Arabidopsis thaliana: one gene and its partners. The protein of the gene in region 4 interacts with the protein of the main gene of each other region in a pairwise test. Each region holds a gene or a part of one and is shown on either strand. Other genes may lie near its edges.

Region 1 (4,634 bases), on a different chromosome or scaffold from region 4:
GTCGTCTAAGTCTAACATCAACCTCTCGCAGGTCCTCAACACTGAGGAGCCGTACAGCTCCGTGATGCTGGCCGTCGCTGCTCTCTTGGCCGTTGTATGCTACTTATGGATTCAGGGGAAGTCCAAGTCCAAAAAGGAACCTCCACTGCCTCCGGGACCTTGGCCACTTCCTATCGTCGGAAACCTCCCGTTCCTAAACTCTGACGTCCTCCACACGCAATTCCAAGCCCTAACCCTAAAATATGGCCCTCTCATGAAGATCCACCTCGGTTCCAAACTTGCGATCGTCGTCTCTTCCCCTGACATGGCTCGCGAGGTTCTCAAAACCCACGACATCACTTTCGCCAACCACGATCTCCCTGAAGTCGGAAAGATCAACACTTACGGTGGTGAAGACATCCTCTGGTCTCCTTACGGTACCCATTGGAGGAGACTTCGTAAGCTCTGCGTCATGAAGATGTTCACTACCCCAAGTCTCGAAGCTTCCTACTCCACTCGCCGGGAAGAAACCCGACAAACCATTGTCCACATGTCGGAAATGGCTCGTGAAGGATCACCAGTCAACCTCGGAGAGCAAATATTTCTTTCCATTTTCAACGTCGTGACAAGAATGATGTGGGGCGCCACTGTTGAAGGAGACGAGAGAACGAGCTTAGGAAACGAGCTCAAAACCCTAATATCTGATATCTCCGACATAGAAGGGATTCAAAACTACTCAGATTTCTTTCCGTTGTTCTCAAGATTCGATTTCCAAGGATTGGTTAAGCAGATGAAAGGCCATGTGAAGAAGCTTGATCTCTTGTTCGATAGAGTTATGGAGAGTCACGTCAAAATGGTGGGAAAGAAGAGCGAAGAAGAAGAAGATTTCTTGCAATACTTACTTAGAGTTAAAGATGATGATGAGAAAGCTCCTCTGTCCATGACTCATGTCAAGTCTCTCCTCATGGATATGGTTCTTGGTGGTGTCGACACATCGGTTAACGCATCCGAATTCGCCATGGCAGAGATTGTGAGCAGACCGGAAGTGTTAAACAAGATCCGACTAGAACTTGACCAAGTTGTTGGCAAAGACAACATCGTTGAGGAATCACATTTACCTAAGCTTCCTTACCTACAAGCGGTTATGAAAGAGACTCTTAGGCTTCACCCTACGCTTCCTCTTCTTGTTCCTCACAGAAACAGCGAAACCTCGGTGGTTGCGGGATACACTGTGCCTAAAGACTCCAAGATTTTCATCAACGTTTGGGCGATTCATAGAGATCCTAAGAATTGGGATGAACCAAACGAGTTCAAACCTGAGAGGTTTTTGGAGAATTCGCTTGATTTCAATGGAGGTGATTTTAAGTATTTGCCTTTTGGGTCAGGAAGGAGGATTTGTGCGGCGATAAACATGGCTGAGAGACTTGTTCTGTTCAACATTGCTTCACTTCTTCACTCTTTTGATTGGAAAGCTCCTCAAGGACAGAAGTTTGAGGTTGAAGAGAAGTTTGGTCTTGTTCTTAAGTTGAAGTCTCCACTTGTGGCTATTCCTGTTCCAAGGTTGTCCGATCCAAAACTCTACACAGCTTAAGTAAGAAGGATGTTGAATTGAGTTTTCTTGTTTAAAGTTTACTTTTCTTTATCTGTGTCTGGAGTTTTGATGCTTTGTATAAAAGATGTGTCAAGTTACATTTTTGATAACATTTAATATAACAAAGTTTTACTTACAATAATAACGCCTAATAGTCGATGCCAAAGCTATAAAACTATATTGTAGTTATATTTTTGGCAAGTCGATTAAAATTCTTGGGTCAACAAATTACAAATTAGTATGAAGGTTACAAATTAAAATTGTAATTATTTAAATTAATTAATGTATAATTATATCACAAATACTTCACGTCACACTAAATGAGTCCTTCTTAGCGGCAAAATATGCGTTATTGGGCTAGGCCCATTTATAAACGACGCCGTTTACACAGTCTAGAAACTCAACATCGTCGTTTCTCTCCCGGCGACTTTATCGCCGTCTTTTTCTTCTTTAAACTCTCTGGCTAATTTCGTTTTGCTTTGAGCTTGTGAGCTACTTCTGATTCCGGCCATCACGCAGCTTCAGGTTAGTTTTTGATTTAAATCAAACAACAGTACATGGGTTCAGTGTGTTGTGTCTCGAATGGAATTGGTTTCTGTGTTTAGATTAGGGTTTAGGGCTCTTTCATCTAAGGAAACGAAACCTAGGTTATACGAATCTCTTTGTTGGGTCTCTCTCAATACCAATACCAATCAACGAAAGGATTAATTTTGTTCATCATCTTCAACGTCTAAGGCTATAATTTGTGTTAGTTCAAATTGATTCAGAATAAAGTTTGGATTTTTACTTCACCTAGTCCTGAATTTGTTGTTCTCTGTGTAGAAAGTTTCTGTTTTTAAATCAAAGAAATGAAGAAGAAGATGATAGCCATTGGTTTCGAAGGATCAGCTAACAAGATTGGAGTTGGAATTGTGACTTTAGACGGTACTATCTTAGCAAATCCTCGGCATACGTATATAACACCACCTGGTCATGGTTTTCTTCCTAGAGAGACTGCACATCACCATCTTGACCATGTTCTTCCTTTAGTCAAATCAGCTTTAGAGACTTCTCAAGTTACTCCTGAAGAAATCGACTGTATTTGTTATACGAAAGGTCCCGGGATGGGAGCGCCGTTGCAGGTTTCAGCCATTGTTGTTAGAGTATTGTCACAGCTTTGGAAAAAGCCAATTGTTGCTGTGAATCATTGTGTGGCTCACATTGAGATGGGGAGAGTAGTTACTGGAGCTGATGATCCTGTTGTGTTGTATGTGAGTGGTGGTAACACTCAGGTGATTGCTTATAGTGAAGGTAGGTACCGGATTTTTGGTGAGACTATTGATATTGCTGTTGGTAATTGTTTGGATCGGTTTGCTAGAGTCTTGAAGCTTTCTAATGATCCAAGCCCTGGTTATAACATTGAACAGGTAGATTTCATTTGAAAGTAAAGTAAATTTGAATTCTTGAAAGATTCAAGAACAATGTTAACACGGTTTTTGGTGTTGTTACTAGCTTGCTAAGAAAGGAGAAAACTTTATTGATCTTCCGTATGCTGTTAAAGGTATGGATGTATCGTTCAGCGGAATCTTGAGTTATATCGAAACTACTGCAGAGGAGAAGCTCAAGAATAACGAGTGTACACCAGCAGACTTGTGTTATTCCCTTCAAGTAAGGCTATCACTTGGTTCTTAACTGATGAATTTTGTCACATGAATGCAAATTTTGGACTGTTTAAGAGTAATATCATGAATTCATGTTTGTTGATCTTGCAGGAGACGGTGTTTGCGATGTTGGTTGAGATCACAGAAAGAGCGATGGCGCATTGTGACAAGAAAGACGTTTTGATAGTTGGCGGTGTTGGGTGTAACGAGCGTTTGCAGGAAATGATGAGGACTATGTGCTCAGAACGTGATGGTAAGCTGTTTGCAACAGATGACCGTTACTGCATCGATAATGGAGCTATGATCGCTTACACAGGTCTACTCGCGTTTGTTAATGGTATTGAAACACCGATCGAAGACTCTACCTTTACACAACGATTTCGCACAGACGAGGTTCATGCGGTGTGGCGAGAGAAAGAAGCTGTACTACTTGGGGATAAGAAAGTTGCAGCGAATTGAGTCTGTCCCCATTTTTGTTCATTTTTCATCAAATTTGAGATTGAATCTCTCTCTACTCGATAAATTGGTTTTTGCTAAGTAGTTAAGACTTTTAAATGTGTTTTATTAGCCAAATTATATGATTGATATCTTTTGGTTTGAATGTAATAACACTTTCAAATTTCAAAGTGAGCTTTGTAAAAAGTTCAAATGTTTCTTGTGTTGCATTTCGCTATTTGTTTTATTGCTTTAATAAAAATATGATATCTCAAAGTCGACATTTCTACCGAGAATGGTGGAGAGATTAGTGCATTAGTCTTCCTTAATCATACAAAAACAACTGTGAAAATACAGCACTACTAAAAAGTAAAAAGTAAGAACTTTTTAATGTAGAACGTATGAGATGGTTCAATTAATCACAAGACACTTCTATGGCATTGCGTATTAAACGAAAAGTGAGTAAATAGAATTTATACATAATGATCTAATCTTGATCTTGCTAATAAAAATTGTAAAGGCAACAACAAGTTGTCAAAAATTTCAATTTGACGTAGAGATAAATTCTATCTAATAATTTTGTAAAAACATTCGAGATATAGTGTATCATTTTTCCATCATCTAGAACTCATTTGCGTATTTTCAAGTGTAAATCAGAACCTTGACACATAGGCTACACAAATTTTGGTCGATATTTATATTACTTTTGTAGCATAATGTGGATATCCTTCTAGAGACTAGAGTTCTAGATAAAACATTCATACATGTAACTATGTAAGTAAGCATGCATACTAAATATAAAATTTTCAAAAGTTTTAAAAGACATCATATAGATTCAAAAAGACGTGGGAAAAAGGAGAAAATGACAAAAGTTATTAGTAAAACAATCAAGTAAAAGGTCAAAGTAGTTAACGAAAAGATAAAAGTATTTCAAAAGTCTTCCTTCCATCTTGAAATGCCAAAAAATAAAAGACGAATGATTGAAGATA
Region 2 (4,139 bases), on a different chromosome or scaffold from region 4:
GACTCTATTAAATTCTCAAAGCTCTCTAGAGAGAGTCAATGCTCTCAATTATAATGAGTTTAGAAATATTTTTTTGAAATAAGTGAGAGAGAATTCATCAAAAAAATAAAAATTGAATAGAACTCCCCATTGTTGATATTATGGTTCTCTTCTTGTTGTTGTTGATTTAGACTATAATTTGTAACGCTATACCTAATATATGTGTTGCTCCCCATTGTTGTCCTTAAGGAGATGCTATATACATATAGATACTAGCCATGCAAGGATCATTAGAAAATGAATGTGATTAAATTACAAATAGACCCTTCGAACAATGAGAATCTCATGGTTATTGTTATAATGACTAAAGATTACATAAACATAAATAACACAAACTAAACATTTGTAACAACATCAAATATCCTAACCTCCGTACTATGCACGAATTTAACGTGTGAAAAATCGGGCCGGAGAACAAACTGTTTTAAAATAAACCCAAAAATTGAAATATGAAACGTATAATATAATCTTAAATGTAGTATGAAATCTCCAAGAAAATACTAGTAATATTCAATCATATGAAGAAAAGCCATGCAACGGCTGCGAGAACAGAGCCCGAGACAGAGATCACAAGCGATGAGGCTCCTGCCGCAGGAGCCGAAGCTTCAGGGCCGTCACTGGCGCCAGTTCCGTCATCGGAAGATGGAGACATTTCTGGAGTCGGAGCTGGCGGAGAGGAGGCGGTAGGTGCGTCAGAGGAGCTGGTAGGACCTTCGGAAGAATCACCGGAGCTTGAGTCAGGGCTTGAAGCCGGAGTTTTGGCTGATGATGACTTTGGAGATGGGGAAGATGGGGAAGGGCTTGGAGTTCCGGTGGAATTTTTCTTGGCCATGGTTGGAGCAGCTGTAGGCGGTGAGGTTGGGGCGGAGGCCGTGGGTGATTTTGGGGATGCTGCGGCGGCGGGAGAAGGAGAGGTAGAGTTCTTTTCGCCGTTGGCTTTCGGTGCGTTTGCCGGTGTTGGAGGATCGGCGGCCAAGACGGCGGTGATGGCCAAGGCAGCCACGGCGAGAGATAGGAGTTTAAGTGTCATTGTCATTTTGTGGTGAATGTGAATTGCTTTTGTGGTGATTAATTATGTATTTTTGTGGTTTATGATTAGTGCTAAAAAAGATTAAAAAGAAGAAAAGAGTTATTTTTGAGAGATTAAGGAAGAGGTAAAATTTAATTTATAGGGAATTCTACAGATTTGACCAAAGTTTTGGTTGACCGGGTCCATCGGAACTTGTCTTAAAATTTTATTGGTTTGATCTTTTGTTAGTAAAAAGAGAACATGTGGTAATGATAATTCCCAACTTTCAAGAAACAATTGAGAACACGTGACTATTGAGATTGATTTTGTGGTAACTAAATGAGCACTGTTTCAACAAAAGTTAATTTTAATTTAAGCTATACAAAATACTAAGAATTAAAACTTGATTAACGTACCAGTTAGTCAATAACTCAATATTAAGTGGAAGTTCAATTGTTCAATACAAATTCATACACGTAACTGAAGAAGCACATTTAAAAGTCAACGAAACATTTACATTTCGTAAACTAAAAATAAATAAATCTACTGCAATCTTGTGAATGAGTCTAATTAGAGATGAGAAAGTAAACTGAGCCCAAAATAAATAAGGCCCATTTAAAATGTAAGGCCCATGATAATACTCATAAGCTTTGTAATCCACGACGCACGTGTTCCATAATGGCTAACATAAAAACGGCAAGCAGTCTACTTTTTTGTCGTTATCACTTTTTAACCCTTTTCGGCTTCTATCCGTCGATTCAAATCGGCGGCAGTTCCCAGCGACATTAATCTCCGGCGAGACAGTTTACTCGGTGAGTTTCGCGGCTACATAGTTTTTTTGAACTTCCTTGAATTGTTCATTATTTCGGGATATAAACGGAATTTGCTTTTCCCCGATCGTCGTATCACTGTAGAGAAACCGATACTTGATTGGTTCTTCGCTATTTTTCTCTATTTTGATATGCAATTCGATTTCACACTCTCAAATTCATAATCCTAGTTTGTATAGTACTCTATCTCGTGAAATTGTCTGCTTTTATCGATTAAGGCGTTGTTGCGTACATTGCAGTGTTTATTGAAGCTATGCCTAAAAGAACAGCAGAAGCGTGTCCATCATCTGAAATCCAAAGAAGCAGAGGAGATACTTTTGGTAGTTACAGATCTCAAGTAGCTGAGCTTTTGTCTCTAGGTGAGAGGATCTCACATCATGATCAACAAGAAGCCAATGAGAGGCATTCTGAGAGTGTTATAGGAGCTGGGATGTCAAATGTTGAGAAAGATAATTTGAATGTTTTGTTAAGGCAGTGTGTGAGGAATCTAAGTCCAGAAGTTGATGAGGTACTTCAGAGTTCTACTTCTAATATCGTATGATGAAAGAGTACTCAATATTATTGCAATTCGTTTGCAGATGCAGGAATGTGTACGCTCTCTGTATCTAATTTCTCAGCTAGGGAACAAATGTCAGTCATCGTCGCCGAGCGATTTTGTTCCTGAAGAAACCGGAGGAGCGAGAGTTCGTCTTTTACTTATATGTTCTTAATCCTCTTGCTTGAAACATACTTGTATATCTTTCATTTTGTTTTCTCAAAATTCCTTCAGGAAGATGATATTCAACTACTTCTGAGGTCTGACTCTGATATGGTCAAGAACATAACGTCACAGTATTCAAATGTTCTGCTGTCCAAAGTAATGTTCCACATTAGTATATCTAGCTTGCAGAAAGATCAATCATCTAATATAGCTAACTTCTGCATATGTTTTGTTTTGAAAGCTGGACAATATGCAGCAGGAACTCGAGAGACTTCTTGACGATGTGGTGGCGACTTGCAGGTATAGTGTGGTCTAATTGATCTCTAGTTTGTGCCATTATATAATCAGTTAAAGAGTTTTCCTTATGAGAACATTCTTTGTTGGTGGTTACTTATGTGTTAGTTGTTAACTCTTTTAAAACAGACCTATGACTCGTGGTGAAATTCGGGAGCTTCAGAAATCGATCAAGGAGCTGCCTGAGAGGAATCTCAACCGCGTCGCTGAAATAGTAGGAAATCATTGCATAGCATCTGGCAGAGATTTCAACGATAAGGTTATCGTCAACCTTGATCAGGCGGTAAGACACAATCCGTAGTTAATTGATTCTCTGGTTCCGATGAGTATTAATGGAAAACTAACAGCATTTCAACCAAACTGTGTTTTCTTCAGGACAAGGTCATGTTATGGAGATTGCATTTCTATGTAGGAGCAGTCAAGAGGCCCAGAAGCTCGCTCCCTAGCTAACTTTGGCTGTATATATATGGACTGGGATGTTGAGATGGTGTGATGGGCTAAACCGGTTTAATATATTTCCTACTTTTTTTGTTTTCCTGATTAGTCCGGTTAAGCCGTGTAGTAGTTGGTCTTACATGGACGGTTAACAAATGAAAATCGGTTCTGATTTGGTAAGACTTTGTCCTTCGTCCCATGAAGATTTCTCTAACAAAAAATCATTGACCACATCATGACATGAATCCAAAGAAAACACATAGTTTGCTAATGTGTCTGTTAGACGATTAATCTCTTTAGATAGTGTGTATCAATTTCATTATTTTTGTTTTAATCGTCTGTCATTGTATCAGTTTCGGTTAGAAACTAAGATAGGGAAAATATTTCTCGTCCTATAAGATGTTTTACCTAAGCACAAAAAATCATTAAAACGGTATTCAAGACTTTTAAATAAATCAAACAAAAACAAATTTTGATTTCAAAGTAAAACGAAAAAAAAAATCGTAACATGAAAAAAAAAGATATTTTTATTTTATTTTATTTGGAAATAAAATCTGAATAATTATTTTATGACAGTCAATAAAAAGCTATGAAATATTTCTAGAGCTTTACTAATGGGGGAAGTTTGAACTAGCTGCTTGATATTAATATAATAATTTGATTATCAACAAAAAAGTTATATTTAAGAATTAAGATTGATATATGTTAAACTTTTGGTAATTTTGTTCTAAAACCAATATTCTTTGGTTGACTTGACTATTTTATTAATATATTAGTATAAATTGAGAATGTGAATCTCCTTTCCAAACTATTCTTATAGGTTTTCTATATA
Region 3 (5,013 bases), on a different chromosome or scaffold from region 4:
TAAATTAAAGTGTAATTACTTTCACTTCCACCGAGGATGACTTTTACAATTTGAGGAGTATATTAAATTATGTGCTTAACAATGATTTCAATAAAATATCTACACATTTGTGAAAATTGATGACGACCTGGACGATGGATAATCATATTAATTCGAGAAAGTTGAAACTAATTATAAATATCATAGATAGATTCGTATCTGTATATATTATATTATATGGTATGTATACGTAGACTTACGTTATGGATAGACCCCCACCATGTTTTTATATAGAGGCAGAAGATATTTAACTTATGGTTTTCGTTTTTTCGTAAAATATGAAACAAAGACAACGACAAAACGAAAAAGAACCAAAAATAGTATCTCATTCTACTTTCACTTGATTTTGGAATTTCATTTATTTAGATTGTGATTCAAAACCATTTCAACTATGTAAAATTCTGTGCAATATTTTTCCCAACTAAACATATAAGTTTGACATGAAAAAGAATATAGGAAAATTTAGAGGTCCAAATTTTATATGTATATCGGAATCATGGTAGGATACGTTATCAATTGCATTTGTATGAGGCTTGCTATTGCTAGTATAGAAGCATCATCAACAAATCTTAATATCAGTCCAAATTTGAATAACCCATTTTGTGGATCTCATTTCATAAAATAAACCATTTTAGTGTCCTGCAAAAATGTGTTTAGACAGAAATCTTTTTTAAAATCTGAATTTAGATATTATGATGGTTATAATTTATATATAAATTTACTATCAAATATTGTGTTCATATATGGAAGAATGGAGAAAAAAGAGTAGAACCCCACAAAATAAAAAATGGATAGACTATGTTTTCTAAGATTGGACAAAGTGTATAATAAAATCTTCTGATCTGGTCCAAAAATAAAATGTTAAGAGTTTTCGAATTCGAATAATTTGATTTTGATTAAGATATCCACTTCGGATATGTTTTCATATGTAGCTTTTTAAAATACCCTAATAAATATTTTCATAAAGAGTTTATGTAAATAAATCAAAATATATTTTTAACTTTTTATTTATTATAGTTTTATATATTACTGTTTTAATTATTTTGAAGTATTTTTGATAGATATGGATTTGGATGGTTCCGCAAACAAATCCTATGGATCCGGATCCAAAGAACCAATCATAAATTTTGGAATATGTCCACCCATATATGGATCAATAGAGATATAGTTAAGAAAAGAAAATGAATTTATCCCGCAAATTTACATTTTTATCTCATGTAGTGGAACCAATGAAAAGCGAGTAAGCTAAGAAGTCATACTCTCGAGAGTACGCCTTTCCATATTTTCCTTTAAAAGTATCTTCTGGTGGCTCACATTTCTCCGTCCAGCAAAATCTTTTTTGTTACATAAATATTATATTTCCTGATATTTTATATTAAAAGATTATCCAATTGAAATGATGTCAAAAAAGGAAAGGAAAAGTAGGGGAATTAAATAAATACATACAGTGATAATCGAAGTACCAAATCTAACTGTTTTAAAACAAGTAGATTCATTTTAAAAAATTAAATATTTGATTTTTCAAAGAGATAAATGAATAAATCTAGTACAAATTTTGTTGCAAAAAAAGAAGATGAAGAATATGAGAAAGAGCGACACGTGGCAAAGATGGACATTGAACGTGAGCCACAAGATTTTCCATCTGTTTCTCGAGCGTTCCATGGAAAACCAATAAGAATTATTATTTTTATTTTTTAAAAATTGGGAAAAAGCGCACATAGCAGAAGCTGACGTGGCATCACCCTCCTTTTTGTCTTCCCTATTTTCTCACCCCCCTAATTCCCTTCTTCCTCCTTCACAGACCCCAAACTCTTCTCTTCTTCTTCTTTCTCTCTGTTTTCTTCTTCTTCCGCCGAATCAGAAAGCTTGTCTTTTTCTTTACTCCGGCTACCAAAACTTCTCGGAGTTTCTCTGAGAGTTTCATTTCCGACCTTCTTCTTATCCTTATTTGCGGCAAGATTTCCAGCGAGAGTTTTTTTCTCTTTTCCTTTATCGAACATAAGAAATCTCTGGTTTGCTGGAAGTTTTTTTTCCGGAAGGTGGAAGCTTAGATTGGTTCTGATTTCAGAAGCAAATCGTTTGTTGTTGCCTAAGTAAACCGAATCAATTTATGGGATCTATAGAAACAGACGGAGAACAGAGGAAATTAAGCTGATTTTTTCAAGTCTAGATTCGCGAATTTATCTTGGTGTTTCCTTTTCTGTGTTCCACACCTTTCGAGTTTTTTTTTGTTTTCCTCCGCCGAGATCTTAATCCGGGAAGTTATGGCGTCGTCTCCGTTGACTGCAAATGTTCAGGTCTGGTCTCAAAATTTGATTTTTATCCACTTTTTTTGTTTTGTTTCTGCTTTATTCAGGTCTGGTCTCAAATGAATCTATGAGTTTAAAATACTGTATACGGACATTTAAGTAATAAAGCTTAGAGTTAAAGCAAGTTCGTTGCAATTCATTTGCAGACTCTTGTTTCTTTTGAGCTATAAGTTCTCTCTAGATTTGTGTGTTGCAACTACATTCATTTGAATCCTTGAGATGGAATCGACTGTGTTGGAATTTTGTGATTAGGATATGTAAATCGAGTTTAATTAGTTGGACTTTGTGAATGAATGTTCATTGAGAAACTGAAGAAGAAAGTAAATAATCCAATGCCACTTTGTGTCATAGTCCTTAAAATGATGTTTCCTAAAGTCGTTTTGCTTGATGATGGCTTTAGGGTACCAACGCTTCTTTGAGGAATAGAGATGAAGAAACTGCAGACAAGCAGATACAATTCAATGACCAAAGTTTTGGGGGAAATGACTATGCACCCAAGGTTTGTTTCTTTTAACATCAAATGTCAAATATTGTTATGTAAAGTGAAGATCTGTGGCTCAGTTCATCTTTTCTTACTTAGGTACGGAAGCCATACACGATAACAAAAGAGAGAGAGAGATGGACAGATGAAGAGCACAAGAAGTTTGTTGAAGCCTTGAAATTATACGGGCGAGCTTGGAGACGAATAGAAGGTAAATTAATGATTTAGTAATATCTCTTGCTACTGAGTTATGGCCTTACCTGGACCCTCAAAAATATATGTTTGTTTCACTAACAGAACATGTGGGCTCAAAGACCGCAGTTCAGATTCGAAGCCATGCTCAGAAGTTTTTCTCTAAGGTTTATACACTTATTTGCTATTATATCTTTACCCTTGTTCAAAGAAAGTATCAGTCTAATCTCTGTAGCAAACCTAAGTTCTGCATAAATAAGGAATCATTATACATACATTGTTTGGAGACTTGTGTTCTGACTTGGCTTTGTTCTGTTGTATTCACACAGGTTGCTCGAGAAGCAACTGGAGGTGATGGGAGCTCAGTAGAGCCGATTGTAATACCTCCTCCTCGTCCCAAGAGAAAGCCAGCGCATCCGTACCCTCGTAAGTTTGGGAACGAGGCAGATCAAACAAGTAGATCGGTTTCTCCCTCAGAACGTGATACTCAATCTCCAACCTCTGTGTTGTCCACTGTTGGATCAGAAGCATTGTGTTCCCTTGATTCGAGTTCACCCAATCGAAGCTTGTCCCCAGTTTCTTCTGCATCACCACCAGCTGCTCTTACAACCACTGCAAATGCACCTGAAGAGCTTGAGACTCTGGTACTTGACATAAACAAAACCGAATTTATACTTAACAGCAATACCTGCTGTTAGATGCTTAATGCTTAATATTCTTGGTTTAATCAATTTGTACAGAAGCTGGAGTTGTTTCCTAGTGAGAGACTCTTAAACAGGGAGAGCTCGATCAAGGAACCAACGAAGCAAAGTCTTAAACTCTTTGGGAAGACAGTTTTGGTATCTGATTCAGGCATGTCCTCTTCTCTAACAACTTCAACATATTGTAAATCCCCAATTCAGCCATTACCACGGAAACTCTCATCATCCAAGACACTACCCATAATAAGAAACTCACAAGAAGAACTCTTGAGCTGCTGGATACAAGTCCCTCTTAAGCAAGAAGATGTGGAAAATAGATGTTTGGATTCAGGAAAGGCTGTCCAAAACGAAGGATCATCGACTGGATCAAACACTGGTTCGGTGGATGATACGGGACACACGGAAAAGACCACAGAACCCGAAACAATGCTATGTCAATGGGAGTTTAAACCAAGTGAGAGGTCTGCATTTTCTGAGCTCAGAAGAACAAACTCCGAGTCAAATTCAAGAGGATTTGGTCCATACAAGAAGAGAAAGATGGTAACAGAAGAAGAAGAGCATGAGATTCATCTCCACTTATAACACATTTTCTTACGTACCCTAAAGAAGAGACTTTAAATTTACTATTCATTCGACTTTCTAAGTTTTCATCAATGTAATTTTTGTTGTTGTTTCATTGTTTTCTCTTGAGGTGTTTGTTCTCTAGGCTAAAATTTTCTGCAAAAGTTTGTAACTGTAAAACTCGTGTACAATTTATACAGTTAAATCTAATGATTATGAGATCTTTCTTAATTGATGGTTCAACAAAAGCAAGTTTCAGGTGTCTCTCTTCAATATCTCCGATTAAATTAGGTTTGGTAAAGAGTTTGCTTTGAAATGAAGGCAAAGAAGAAAAACAGTGAGGTTACCACCAACTGAACAAGTGTGTGTTCAAAGTTCAAACCCAACAAATAACCGAACCGATTCGGAAACCAACTCTAACCTGAAATTTTGATAGAATTTGACCAGACCAAATTAGACCGGTTAACACCCTTTCACGTTAGCCACCAACAGATTAAGCAGTGTCTAACGTACGCCTTATTAATACCACATAAAGACGCAAGAGAAGATGACGTCATACAGAAACAGCGTCGTTTTGAAAGCTGAGTTTTTTTTGTGAAGCGAGCGAGCGTGAGAAGGTGTGACGGGGAAGAGAATGGCGAAGGAAGCGGTCAAGTATGTATGGGAAGGAGCAATTCCTCTGCAGATTCATCTCCACAAATCCGACGTCGCTTCTCACCCTGCTCCTCCT
Region 4 (4,221 bases):
ATGGGCAGGTCCAACGAAAAGTTATAGAGCGAGGAGAGATATCCGTAGAGGATGAAATCGCGGATTCAGTATTCATGAAGGTTAGTTAAGAGTGTATCCAGTTGTGTGAACTGATATGTGAAGTTGTCTGTAGAATAATCTTAATCTTACTGGTTTGTTATTGATGTTCAGTCATACATACCGAAATCTCTGGATGCTGTGAACAACCCTGAGGCTGACGTGGCTAAGATAACAAGCGGGCAGGACACAGGAGACATGCTATACCAAACGATAACGGGGCTTAAGGATGCTCTTCCTAAAATAGAAGAGCAGAAAATAGAGGTGAATGATGAAGAGAAAGAAGAGGAAGGAGAGGAAGAAGAAGACGGAGAAAGTGAAGAAGGAAGTGAGGAAGAAGAGAGTGAAGAAGAATTGGGTCATGAAGACAAGAAAGCTGCAAGGAAAGAGCACAAGAAGAAAGTGAAAGAGGAGAAACGAGAGTCTAGGAAGACGAAGACACCCAAATCTGTCAAGAAGCGAAAGAAGAAAGTCTCTAAACCACACAAGACTCGTTAATCCGAGTTAGAAGTTTTGACACCCCAACTTGTATTTTTATTTATATTTTGAAATTTTGTGTCAAATTCTGGGAAATCGAGTATGGACCCAAAGCTCTCTATATTTCCAAAAATAGCAAGTTCTTGTAATATTCATAGTATGACTTTATTATAGAGCCCGAAATTGGTTTGCTGCTGTTTCAAGAATAGGATTCAAATTTCTGTTCCTTTCCTCACATCCCTAACCAACTTGACAATTCGAATAATGGTTGTGTCTAAATTTATCAACTCAAGTTTTGAGATTGTTGGCTTATAGTATGAAAATTCTAATCCTGCAACTAGTTTATTTACAACATTTTTTCTTTGTTTAATGAGTTCTTGATTTTATACAGTTTAGTGTTTATGAGCTTTTCTTCTTAAGCCTCTGTTTCCATAGTTTATATCTTAATACGTGTTTTCTCTTTCTTTTGGAGCTTTGATTATCTCTTTTAAACTATGTTTTCGAAGATATCTTTGTTTTCTGCCGGTTTTGTAAGATCGGAAAATATATTTTTATTTTATAATATTAATAAAAAAGATGACAAAACAAAAAATAATGATTTTCTTTCAAACTTAATGAACATAAAAAAAAGGGAAACGAAATCTTATTTTGCCTAGCTGACATAATTAACTAATGCAACTAAATGTAGGTAGGATTAAGTAAACAAAAATATGAGACAAAATTAAACATGCCAACCTCCAGGGCATAGTCAATGGGTCAAGTCAAGCGAAAGTTGGTCTGGATCTTACAATGCAACTTAATGTAAAGTACTCATTTTTCTTCGACATGGGACATCCGCCGAAATTGTTGATTTTTGATCCATCTTTACACTTGTTTTCTCCGATTACAACAAAACATAACAATTCGACTACGATTTAACACCTAACCTTTTTAATTTTTTAGGACACGCATTTAGTATTTACGATGCAAGCCAACAAATTTAATCCAACGTATTAAACACAACTTGCTTTTTGTCAATACGTATTAAATTAAATAGTTTTCTTGCAATTTTTGTTTACACATTTCATTAGTATTGTTTTTTTCCAATATTTTTGTTTCTATGTTCAATCACTATCATATGCATAATACACATTATAATTTTGGCACAATTAGAATTACACACAAGGATTTTATAAATGTTTTTAAAATGATTTACAAAAGATTTTATAAAAATTTTACAAAAGTTTTTAAAAGATTTAATAAAAGTTTTAAAACGATTTTACAAAGAGTTTTAAAAACTTTTAAAGGTTTTAAAGAAAGTTTATGAGAATTTACAAGAATTGTAAAAGATTTATAATAATTTTTTTAGAATTAGAAAGGAGACCCTCATTTTCCACCCAAATCGTCAACCTTCTCATAATTGACAAGTTATTACACTCTCTCCACTTACTAGTTACTATAAAACCAAAGGAGACCAAATCTCTTAGCAATTATGAATTTGGTCTTCGCTATAATCTCACGTTACATTAAATTGGCTCCTGTGAACCTAAATTTATGGACTATGATCCCAACACCAATCCGTTCGACCTTCATTTCTCCGGTAAACTTCCGGTGAGTTTTTCAATTTCTTCGAAAATTTCACTTCAATTTTCGAGGTTGTGGTGATTATTCGTGGTGTTCATATATATTTTATTGCCTGATTTAGAAAAGAGAAGTCTCGGCTTCAGCTTCTAAAGTTGTAGAGAAGAAATGGTTAGTGAAAGATGAGGTTAGTTCTTTCATCGAACACTTTGGTGTGCAATACTTTGACCTCAAAATTTTTGACTATGAGTGAATGGATTAGGTTGATCAAGTTCTCATATCTGATTTAGACATTGAATAGTTTGTTTAGATCGGTGATGCTCAAAAGTTGAACAAATCAAAGCTTTGTCTTACAGCTTAGTTTGGTAATGGTGATTTTCATTTTACACAGAAGAGAAATATGCTACAAGATGAAATAAACCGGGTTAATTCGGAGAACAAGAAGCTAACCGAAATGTTAGCAAGAGTCTGTGAGAAGTACTATGCTCTTAATAATCTTATGGAGGAGTTGCAGAGTCGAAAGAGTCCTGAAAGTGTTAACTTTCAGAACAAACAGCTAACGGGGAAACGAAAACAAGAACTTGATGAGTTTGTTAGCTCCCCAATTGGACTCAGTCTCGGACCAATCGAGAACATCACCAACGATAAAGCGACGGTTTCAACCGCTTACTTTGCTGCTGAGAAGTCTGACACAAGCTTGGTAAGGAGATTTCTACTACAAGTATCGTTCTTTGAGTGTATTGATTTGTTAACGAATGTTTTGTGGATATACGTTACTTGTAGACTGTGAAAGATGGATATCAATGGAGGAAATACGGGCAAAAGATTACGAGAGATAATCCATCTCCTAGAGCTTACTTCAGATGCTCGTTTTCACCGTCTTGTCTAGTCAAGAAGAAGGTACTTTGGTTTAAACTTTGTTAAAGAGTTCTTCGATATCATCTTGCTGTCTGATTAAATTCCCTAGTTGTGTGTGCGCTTGTTTAGGTGCAACGAAGTGCAGAAGATCCATCTTTCTTGGTAGCCACTTACGAAGGGACACATAACCACACCGGACCACATGCAAGTGTGTCCAGGACAGTGAAACTTGATCTAGTTCAAGGTGGGCTTGAACCAGTTGAGGAAAAGAAAGAGAGAGGGACGATTCAAGAGGTTTTGGTGCAACAAATGGCTTCTTCGTTGACCAAAGATCCTAAGTTCACTGCAGCTCTTGCGACTGCTATTTCCGGGAGATTGATAGAGCATTCAAGAACATGAAAGTTCTCTAGAACATGTATATTTCTGTTTTGTTCTATTTTGTTGCTCATTCCTAGTAAAAAGGTAAAGATTTGTTTGATCTTGATTAGGAGGCATAGATGTCAATTTTAATGTGTGTGTATATAATTACATCAAATCTAAGTATCCAAAAAGGGTCACCCCCATTTTATCTTATGTTGAAAGAGTTTTGTTATAGCTCGGTGTAAGTATGGTAGATTGACGCTGCTTCGACAGTTTATGTATCTTCCAATGTTATCTTGTTCAGTTGTTTGTATTAACTTCCATTAGAGAAGAATGTGATGCCATTACAGACATAAAAGAAACAGAGAAACCCGGAAACAGAGTAAAACCACGAAAAACAGAGTCGGTTTAAGAGAACCAAACCAAAATAACCGGTACAGCTATAAAAAGCCAAGAAGAAAAATTATGAACCGAGTCCAAATTAGGTTACGGTTAGCTTCCAATCCCAACTTCTTCTTCTTCTTCATCTGTGTTTAGTCCCAAATTGAAGAATCAAAAGTTTCGTGTTTTGAGAATTTGACAAAAATTTGTTTATGTAATCTTAGTTTTCGCTGATTTTGAGTAAGTTATCGACATGGATATTGATGTCGGACCAGTTGATCCATCTGTCCTATACGAGCAAGACCTCCATGTTTCTTCTGCTGTTTGGGAAGGACAGGTTTTTTTCTTAATTCCCTTGCTAAATTTCAGATTTTGAATTTAGGGTTAATCTTATTTCCCCTTACTTACCTTAGGAACGAGGTCTACTTCGTTGTCAAGAACACACTTCATTGCTACATCAATGGAAACTCACTGATGAACAAATTAACCTCGTGGACAAAGCTGGTTTCGGTTACTTTCGCAAAATCG

The links.
Region 1: the proteins of WRKY60 (region 4) and AT4G22720 interact in a two-hybrid assay, tested with the Arabidopsis thaliana proteins (one large-scale study listed by BioGRID).
Region 2: the proteins of WRKY60 (region 4) and AT3G27420 interact in a two-hybrid assay, tested with the Arabidopsis thaliana proteins (one large-scale study listed by BioGRID).
Region 3: the proteins of WRKY60 (region 4) and RVE1 interact in a two-hybrid assay, tested with the Arabidopsis thaliana proteins (one large-scale study listed by BioGRID).

The regions. Positions count from the first base shown.
Region 1 is NC_003075.7:11,935,049-11,939,682, forward strand, and holds AT4G22720 (Actin-like ATPase superfamily protein), read left to right. Parts: upstream 1-1,893; 5' UTR 1,894-2,095; intron 2,096-2,392; 5' UTR 2,393-2,418; coding exon 2,419-2,976; intron 2,977-3,061; coding exon 3,062-3,217; intron 3,218-3,321; coding exon 3,322-3,669; 3' UTR 3,670-3,921; downstream 3,922-4,634. Other genes in the region: CYP706A2 (cytochrome P450, family 706, subfamily A, polypeptide 2), read left to right, coding at 1-1,570.
Region 2 is NC_003074.8:10,146,818-10,150,956, forward strand, and holds AT3G27420 (bromodomain testis-specific protein), read left to right. Parts: upstream 1-1,737; 5' UTR 1,738-1,860; intron 1,861-2,117; 5' UTR 2,118-2,131; coding exon 2,132-2,386; intron 2,387-2,456; coding exon 2,457-2,561; intron 2,562-2,647; coding exon 2,648-2,734; intron 2,735-2,819; coding exon 2,820-2,878; intron 2,879-3,001; coding exon 3,002-3,155; intron 3,156-3,247; coding exon 3,248-3,322; 3' UTR 3,323-3,603; downstream 3,604-4,139. Other genes in the region: AT3G27416 (uncharacterized protein), read right to left, coding at 554-1,075; AT3G27415 (uncharacterized protein), read left to right, coding at 558-1,085.
Region 3 is NC_003076.8:5,689,726-5,694,738, reverse strand, and holds RVE1 (Homeodomain-like superfamily protein), read left to right. Parts: upstream 1-1,746; 5' UTR 1,747-1,814; coding exon of another isoform or gene 1,815-2,039; 5' UTR 2,040-2,303; coding exon 2,304-2,336; intron 2,337-2,748; coding exon 2,749-2,847; intron 2,848-2,928; coding exon 2,929-3,040; exon of another isoform or gene 3,041-3,107; coding exon of another isoform or gene 3,108-3,126; coding exon 3,127-3,188; intron 3,189-3,350; coding exon 3,351-3,665; intron 3,666-3,761; coding exon 3,762-4,304; 3' UTR 4,305-4,513; downstream 4,514-5,013. Other genes in the region: AT5G17305 (uncharacterized protein), read right to left, coding at 1,815-2,039; autophagy protein Apg5 family, read left to right, coding at 4,918-5,013. UniProt on the Arabidopsis thaliana protein: Morning-phased transcription factor integrating the circadian clock and auxin pathways. Binds to the evening element (EE) of promoters. Does not act within the central clock, but regulates free auxin levels in a time-of-day specific manner.
Region 4 is NC_003071.7:10,627,745-10,631,965, forward strand, and holds WRKY60 (WRKY DNA-binding protein 60), read left to right. Parts: upstream 1-1,917; 5' UTR 1,918-2,067; coding exon 2,068-2,124; exon of another isoform or gene 2,125-2,218; coding exon 2,219-2,281; exon of another isoform or gene 2,282-2,485; coding exon 2,486-2,794; intron 2,795-2,877; coding exon 2,878-2,994; intron 2,995-3,081; coding exon 3,082-3,351; 3' UTR 3,352-3,669; downstream 3,670-4,221. Other genes in the region: AT2G24990 (Serine/threonine-protein kinase Rio1), read left to right, coding at 9-80, 172-555; AT2G25010 (Aminotransferase-like, plant mobile domain family protein), read left to right, coding at 3,947-4,030, 4,107-4,221. UniProt on the Arabidopsis thaliana protein: Transcription factor. Interacts specifically with the W box (5'-(T)TGAC[CT]-3'), a frequently occurring elicitor-responsive cis-acting element.